Linked DNA regions of Mus musculus. The main gene of each other region encodes a partner of the protein of the gene in region 2 in a complex. Links are inferred from orthologs where the notes say so. Each region holds a gene or a part of one and is shown on either strand. Other genes may lie near its edges.

The links. Proteins that work in one complex are often made in the same cells at the same time.
Region 1: the proteins of Elane (region 2) and Slpi are in contact, whole or in part, in a crystal structure (PDB 2Z7F), measured with the Homo sapiens proteins. The link is inferred for Mus musculus from reciprocal best matches to the Homo sapiens genes ELANE and SLPI. Residues at the interface, in NP_001963.1 of Homo sapiens: His53, Phe54, Cys55, His70, Cys71, Asn74, Val75, Pro111, Val112, Asn113, Leu114, Leu158, Ile165, Leu180, Arg182, Val197, Cys198, Phe199, Gly200, Asp201, Ser202, Ala216, Ser217, Phe218, Val219, Arg220, Gly221; in NP_003055.1 of Homo sapiens: Tyr93, Gly94, Gln95, Cys96, Leu97, Met98, Leu99, Pro102, Phe104, Met121, Cys122.

Annotation. Positions count from the first base shown.
Region 1 is NC_000068.7:164,353,705-164,357,875, forward strand, and holds Slpi (antileukoproteinase precursor), read right to left. Parts: upstream 2,804-4,171; 5' UTR 2,569-2,803; coding exon 2,484-2,568; intron 1,909-2,483; coding exon 1,747-1,908; intron 1,322-1,746; coding exon 1,173-1,321; 3' UTR 1,172-1,172; intron 680-1,171; exon of another isoform or gene 610-679; 3' UTR 366-609; downstream 1-365.
Region 2 is NC_000076.6:79,885,147-79,888,719, reverse strand, and holds Elane (neutrophil elastase precursor), read right to left. Parts: upstream 2,409-3,573; 5' UTR 2,386-2,408; coding exon 2,322-2,385; intron 2,007-2,321; coding exon 1,850-2,006; intron 1,738-1,849; coding exon 1,596-1,737; intron 1,155-1,595; coding exon 921-1,154; intron 804-920; coding exon 603-803; 3' UTR 504-602; downstream 1-503. UniProt on the Homo sapiens protein: Serine protease that modifies the functions of natural killer cells, monocytes and granulocytes. Inhibits C5a-dependent neutrophil enzyme release and chemotaxis. Promotes cleavage of GSDMB, thereby inhibiting pyroptosis. Promotes blood coagulation.

The DNA.
Region 1 (4,171 bases), on a different chromosome or scaffold from region 2:
AAAAACACATACAAGTAAGCACACTGCACATGTGTGTGCGTGCACACACATGCACCGCATTTTCATAACGCCGGGTAGCAATAAGTGGCCGTGGTGTGTGAAGGCACTCTGGTAAAGCACAGCTGTATAGCACACACACACTTTGCACCATTCTGCAACCTCTGGTGCACTACACGTTGTAAGAAAGCGGTCCCTGTTGCCACTTTGCAGATAAAAACATGATATTTGGAAGGTTCAAGCATGCCCAAGCCTGGAATTCTCATCCTTCTCCTCCCGGAATGTAAGAGGGAGGCCTCGTTCCCATCCTTCCTTTATTGGTTCCTACCACACCCATCTCATCCCCTCAGTGAATCAGAGTCACGGTGTGCATAGAGAAATGAATGCGTTTATTTATTTGCTCTCCAACAGCATTTCCCTAAAGATCGGTGAATGCTGAGCCAAAAGGAGATGTTAGTGGTAAAACAGTAACCCTGGTCCACAGGATCCAAGCCTGGGATACAGGGAGCCGGGAGCCATGGAACCCGGAGCAGGGACGCCTGGGAGCAGGGAAGTAGTTTCCAGAGCACACCGAGCACGAGTCCAGAGCCGGCGCCAATGTCAGGGATCAGGCTACAAGAGAAAGTAAGGAAAGACCTTCAACATAGGAACCAGCTAGATCATTCCTATCCAGCCCTTGTAAGGGAGCATGCTGAGAACGGTCAAAGGGTAAAGTGGGGCTGGACTTGAGAGGATCTGGGGTTTCAGGAGAACAGGTTCAAATCTCGTTGTCGTTGTAAAACTCAAAACGCAGAGCACTGAGCTAGACATTCCTCACATTATACCTATCCTTTGTGCTCTGACCAGAGAGACACCATGAAGTAAATAACATGGGAAGCAAATAACGTATACTGTGCCTCGCAAAACTTCAACTTCGGTATTTCTATTGTGCAGGCAGAGACTCTGAGAGCCATTCACCCGAGGCCCTTACCCTGACAGGCTGCCACAGGATCAAAGCCTCAGGCAATGCTAAGCTTTGCCCTAAGAAACAGGGGACAGTTCCCTTAAACGGCAAACAGACAGGGGCTCCTGATTAGAATAGAATCTCCTGGCGCATGTGCTTCGAGCTCCAGAACCTTGAAGCAGAAAAGGGCTGGAGAGAAATGAGCTCTGCCTACCCCAGCCCACTCCTTACCTCACATCGGGGGCAGGCAGACTTTCCCACATATACCCTCACAGCACTTGTATTTGCCGTCACACTGCCCGTCCCTCTGGCAGACATTGGGAGGGTTAAGCATCATACATCTTGCCTGAGTTTTGACGCACCTCCCAGGCTTCCTCCACACTGTTGAGAAAGGATTCACAGGGCCGATGTCTTAGGGCTCAGGCAACACATCTCCATGTCTTTAACCCAACATCTCCTTCCTGAGCGAGGAAGTTCGTCCCCATCCACCCATCACCTTTGTCACCTCCTCCCAAACACGCCTCCTGAAAGAGGACCTGCTTCCTCGCTACCATCTAGCCTCCAGCCAATGCAGGGGACCAGCTCTCCAGCCCCGAAAGGGCCGAATGGTTGTAAAGCCATCATCCTCACAGAGTGGCAACTGCAGGCAAATGGCTCTTCCTGCCAATGGCAGCAAGAGGCCTTGACTAACTGACATGTTGGACCCAACAGCTCTTAGAAACAAGGATGCCTGGGAGGGACTCTTCATTCACTCTGGGTGGCTCTTGACGTTGATTGTCCCCTCTCTGTTTTCTCTGCTGGCTCACCTGGTTTGCGAATGGGAACAGGATTCACGCACTTGGAACCGCAAGCATCTTGGCAGCACCTCTGCTTTCCCGGGCACTCCCAGTCAGTACGGCATTGTGGCTTCTCAAGCTTAAGGCACTGGGCAGGCTTTTTAGCAGGGCAGGCTCCGATTTTGATAGCATCTAAAGAGAAGCTCAAGATGTTAGGAGGGTACGGACTATCATCATTCCTAGACGAAGGTCCACATCTCAGAATATAGACCCTCATTCCAGTGGCCCACAACTTCAAAGAGAAATACCGGGCTGACCTAGGGAGGAAAAGTCAGACTTGGTCAACCAAGACATGTGACCAGGAAAAATCAGACTGAGGATAAAAGGTACCGGGCTCCCAGTCAAGGTTTTCTACCTCAGGGCTAAGCAAGATCTCACAAAGACAGAAGGTGGGAGCAGGAATAATGGAGACCAAGAGAAATAAATAGGAAGGGAACTAATATGTGAGATGCTGAGAACTAAAGCCAGAGACAGAAACAAACAGAAAGGCTAAAGGGCAGGGACAGAGCTGTGTGAGACCTGAGCTGACAGGATGGCTGCATAAGAGGAGCACCTCTACATGCCTTGAAACTTCATCAAGACCTCAGACCCCAGCGAGACACAGATGTCGCCCTGAGGTCAGAGTAAACTGAAAAACAGCCCAAACCATCAGGAGCCCCCACCTCTGATACTCCAGGCAATGTTGGACCAAAGCAACTCCAACTCACCATTTTTGCCTCCTTCCACAGTCCAGGGTGCCAGGATCCCCAGAGCAAGGAGCACCGTGAAAGGTAAAAGGCCGCAGGACTTCATGGTGAAGGCAGGGGAGCTCTGATGACCAGTCCCGAGGATCACTATTTATGTCTTTACCAGGAGGCGTGGCCCCAGTGGCATGCATTTGGCCCCTCCCTGTGGCTCTTGCACAGGCAGGAAGCTTAGCCACAGAACAGGAGTCTTGCTGCTACAGAAGTAGGTGGCAGACTTTCTGTTTCAGGCAGGACCATGAGGCCATCAGAGTAACCACCTGAGAGCTGAAAATGACAGAAGCTGTCTTGGAAGTTATCAGCAGAGGGACATTGCAAGTGATCACCTGAGCCCTGAGCATTGTGAAATCCCAAGACTATTGCTCTCACTAGTAGAGAAGAACCAGTCACAAAAGGGTTACCCTAACCTGAAGCTGAGACATCACACGTGGACTCTCGGCTGAAACTCTGCCATACACCTCTATTTTTTTTTTTTTTAATGTTCCTGGACTTTCTGGGATTTTGAAACTCTAACCTATTGCTCAATACAAATTCCTTCTCGAGATGAAGATGACGCATGGCTCAACCAACTGATGTTGATTTCTGCCAAATCATTTGCACCGCTGTTTGCCCGGTGCCCATTCCATGACTGGAACCTGGAAAGCAATCCCTAAACAAATGAAAGTTACACACAGAAGGGCCTTGCCTTCAGCCAACCTTGTTGGAGCTCAGTCTCTTAGTCGTGAAACAACTTGGGACTGGTTTTAAGATTAAGGGCTTAAAATGACCCTTAAAGTAATGAATGAATTGCATCAATGGCTAATAGAGATCACTGATGCGGACTGGAGGAAAGAGACAGGGCCTCTTACTCATCGCTGCAATCAGCGTGGAGCTGTGGTGTCCTTTGACTTGTTAAAGGAATTCATTCTTCCTACCCCTAAATCCTCCACAGGCTTCAGATGTCAGCCAAAAACTATGGCTGCCATGCATTCCGCCCACTATGGATGCTCCCTGGTGTGTGTTGATTGCATCCAATGATCAGAAGAGATATCGTTCTCTGTAGACTTCAACCCAAGATTCCCTTCCTACAAATCCCGAGCCTTCCTGCAAATCCTGAGCCTTACGTCAGCATCGTGGCACCATCTCTGTAGATTCCATATTTGTGCATTTATACCATTTGCCTCCTCTGTCTACCCCCTCCAATCTCACCCCCCACCCTCCTCCTTCTCAAGTTCTCGGCCTCTCTTGGCCTCTCTTTCTTTAATTATTACTGTTCTGCGTGTATATGAATAGATATACTGATACAACCTACTGAGTCAGGTTAGTGCTGCTCATGTGTGTATGTCTTTTAGGGCTGATCACTTGATATTAGATAGCCAACTGGGCTCATCCTTAGGAAAGACCCCCTCTCTTGGCAATCTTTAAGTACCTGTATTTTATCATCTAGGGGTGAAGCTCCGAGAGATTCCCCCTTCCACCATGGCATGTCAACTGGTATCCAGGTCTTATTGAGGCAGCCATGATGGATGTTGAGATGTCATGGTCCTTGTAATTTTCCCACTTGTTCCTCAAAGGAAGTTTGTAGACATTGAAACAGACACAAAAAGGCTATGTGTTAAGTACTGGGCTCCACAAGGTATTCTCTAAGCCAGGAGCCAGCTGTTAGCAGAGCC
Region 2 (3,573 bases):
TTCTGCATCCTGAGGCCGTCCCTGCTCACTGGTCCAGCGAGAGCGCAGAAAAGCTCACTTTTCTTAATTATGTGTAGAAGGTGTATATATGTGCCTGGTGCCCACAGAGTCCAAAGGAGGGCATCCAGTCCCCTGGAACTGGGCCTATAGGCAATAGTGAGCCACCATATGGGAGTCCAGGTCCCCTATGAGAGCAGCAGACACTCCTAACTGCTAAGCATCTCTCCAACCCTCTATTTTTCTCACTCTGTAGGCCAAGCTGTCCTCAGACTCTTGGTAATCCTCCTTTTTCAACCTCCTAAATGCTGAGACCTAGCTGAACATGGGATTTAGGAACAGAAACCAAAAGACCTGTCTGACGGACATTCTTTTGTACAAAGTGGGGGACGTGACTCCTGCCACACCTTTGCCCCAGCTTGGCTGCAGCGTCTCCAGGAGGTGAACCGTATACGAGGCATTGGCTGTGTTCTACATCCTGAAGCAGCAGACATCAGACCCAGTGTACAAAACAAAGGCTGCTTTTATTGTAGTAAAATGGAGAGGTCTCTGGTAGAGGGGGGAGCAAGGGAGCAAGGGGAGCGGGGTGGGAGTGCAGACAGGTCCTAGTTGGTCCTGCCCTCTCGGTCTTTGGGATGGGTAAGAAGGTGGTCATTATGGCTTCGGATAATGGAATTGATCCAATCTGCAAACTCAGCCACAGGGGCGAAGGCATCTGGGTACAATCCAGATCCACAGCCTCCTCGGATGAAGGAGTCAATGCCTTGGACAAGGTTGTTACAGACCAAGGGTCCGCCAGAGTCCCCCTGTGGAGGCGTCCATGTCAGAGGCTGGATCTCTAGTCATCCCCTACCCATGCTCCAGCACTGGGAAGTCCTCCCTGGGGTCCGACTACTATCCCTGCTGCTGCAGAGGGTACTTACGAAGCAGATGCCTGCCTGCCGACGTGGCACCAGAGTGCATACGTTCACACGACGGCGGCACATGTTAGTCACCACTGTCACATTGAGCTCTTGTAGCACACTGGGTGATGGTCTGTTTGTGCCCAACCTGCCCCAGCCCATGGCCAGACATGGAGTTCTGTCACCCACGCCCTGGCCCTGGGCAGGCAGCTGGGCCACCTGCACGTTGGCGTTAATGGTAGCGGAGCCATTGAGCTACAGTGGAAGACACGGGGGGGGGGGGGGGGGGGAGGCATAGAACACCAAGAAGTCACAGAGCACAGTTTATAAGAACCCTCCCCACTTTCCTTAGTACCTGACCATCAAGTGGTGAAAAAATTTAAGAACTAGAGGAAGACGTGAGTATTTTCCAAGAGTTCCCCAAGCTTCAGGGTCAGTGTGTGGAAAGGCACAAATAAGAGTTTGTTGGTTGAATACTGCTCAGAGCTTTCTGTATATTATCTCATTTAAGCCTTCAACATTCAGCCCACAGAATAGTTAATTCTCCACTGTGCTGAGCTGGAAACAGGCTCAGAGGGTGATGACTGCAGTTGACCCAGTGTGTACCTGTCCTGCAGCCTGTTCTGCAGTGCACTCTCCCTAAGCTGACCTCGGGACCTTTGCACGAGGCTCAGGTTCCTGAACTGGCAGGCCCACCTGGATAATCACAATGTCGTTCAGCAGTTGTGATGGGTCAAAGCCATTCTCGAAGATCCGCTGCACAGAGAAGGTCTGTCGAGTGCGCTCCTGTCGCCGCAGGTCATGGGCTCCCAGCACTACCTGCACTGACCGGAAATTTCTAAGGGCAATGGAGAGGGAAGGAGAATTATTGGGAATGCCCACCTGACCTCTTGACCCCAGTCTGACCCGCATGGACATTGAGGGCTAAGAGGGGAAGGAAGGGGACTCACAGGCCGTTCACACAGTGGGCTGCTGACATGACGAAGTTCCTGGCAATGAGGGTGGCACCACAGAAATGACCTCCACGCCTCTGCAGGGATGCCATGAAGGGCCAAGCATGGGGCCGGGCCGGCCGGCCACCAACAATCTCTGAGGCCAGTGCTGGGCCTGAGAACACACAAAGAAGAGTGAGCCCTGAGCTGCTGGGGCCCTCAGTGAGAACTCACAAGGCTGGCTAGGGAAACTGAGGCAGAGAAAAGACAAGGGACCTAGCCCAGGTTGCCCTTAGACTTGAGACCCAGTGCCTTCACAGTAACCACCCTCAGGCTTAGAACCCCAGTTTCCTTAGAAACCCAGTTTCCTGATCGTGGCTTTGCCATTATAAACCTTCACATCTTTTCCTGGGGTCCTGGCAGATGTGCAAGTAGATGAAAGAGATGGACCAGAGGTCAGAAGGGTGGACATGTGTCTGTTTGCACTCACCACCCAGGAACAATGCCAGTAGCATGGCAGCCAGAGTCCGGCTGGATAGTCTGCCAAGGGCCATGGTGGGCTGTGTTCTCGCGGCTCCCCACATCCCTACCTAACAGCCATACTTATAGCTGGAACCAGAGGCCGTTGTATTGCCCCATCCTGGCCACAGCCCTACTTCCTCCCTGGGACACGACAGTGGGGGTGTCATGGAGAGATGTGTGCCCCTCAGGGTCTCCATGTCAGCATCATCCATGCTGCTGAATACCAATGAAAACTCAGCAGACATCCATCTTCTTTTTTTTTTTTTTTTTGGTTTTTTTCTTTTTGGTTTTTCGAGACAGGGTTTCTCTGTATAGCCCTGGCTGCCCTGAAACTCACTTTGTAGATCAGGCTGGCCTCGAACTCAGAAATCCACCTGCCTCTGCCTCCTTCTTTTCTTTTTTTTAAAAATGGGATCTCAAAAAAAAAAAAAAAAAAAAAAAAAAAGAGCCGGGCTTGGTAGCGCACACCTTTAATCCCAGCACTCGGGAGGCAGAGGCAGGCAGATTTCTGAGTTCGAGGCCAGCCTGGTCTACAAAGTGAGTTCCAGGCCAAGGCTATACAGAGAAACCCTGTCTTGAAAAACAAAAACAAAAAAACAAAAAAAAAACAAAAAACAAAAAAAACTTAGGGCCAGGTAGTGGTGGCATGTACCTTTAAAATCAGTACCAGCGAGGCAGAGGCAGAGGCAGGTGGAGCTCTGTGAGTTTGAGGCCAGCCTGGTCTACAGATCTAGTTCCAGGATAACCAGGGCTAGACAAAGAAACCCTATCTCAAAATTAAATAAGTAAATAAATATATAAACAAACAAACAAAATCTCACGTAGCCCAGGCTAGTCTCAAACCCTTAATCCCCCTGCTTCCACCTCGTGAGTGCTGGGATGATGGTGAGCACCTCCGTGCCCACTTGGTGCCCTAATCTACAACTTATATCTGAAGGCCAATCTCTCTGCCTCAGTTTACCTCAGGTATAGTAATAACAGCAACACATACCTATAAAAGAGTTTCTGTGTGTGTGCATGTGTGTGTGAATATATGTGTGCATGAGTGTGTGTGTAGCCAGACTTGCCTGGAACTCACAGAGATCCACCTGCCTCTGCCTCCTCAGTGCTGGGACTAAGGGTGTGAACATCTATTCCCAGGACAGTGGGTCTTTTTAACCTGGGGTTCAGGACTAGACAGCACATGGCAGCCAGCTCAGCCCCTAATTTATGGCTTGCTC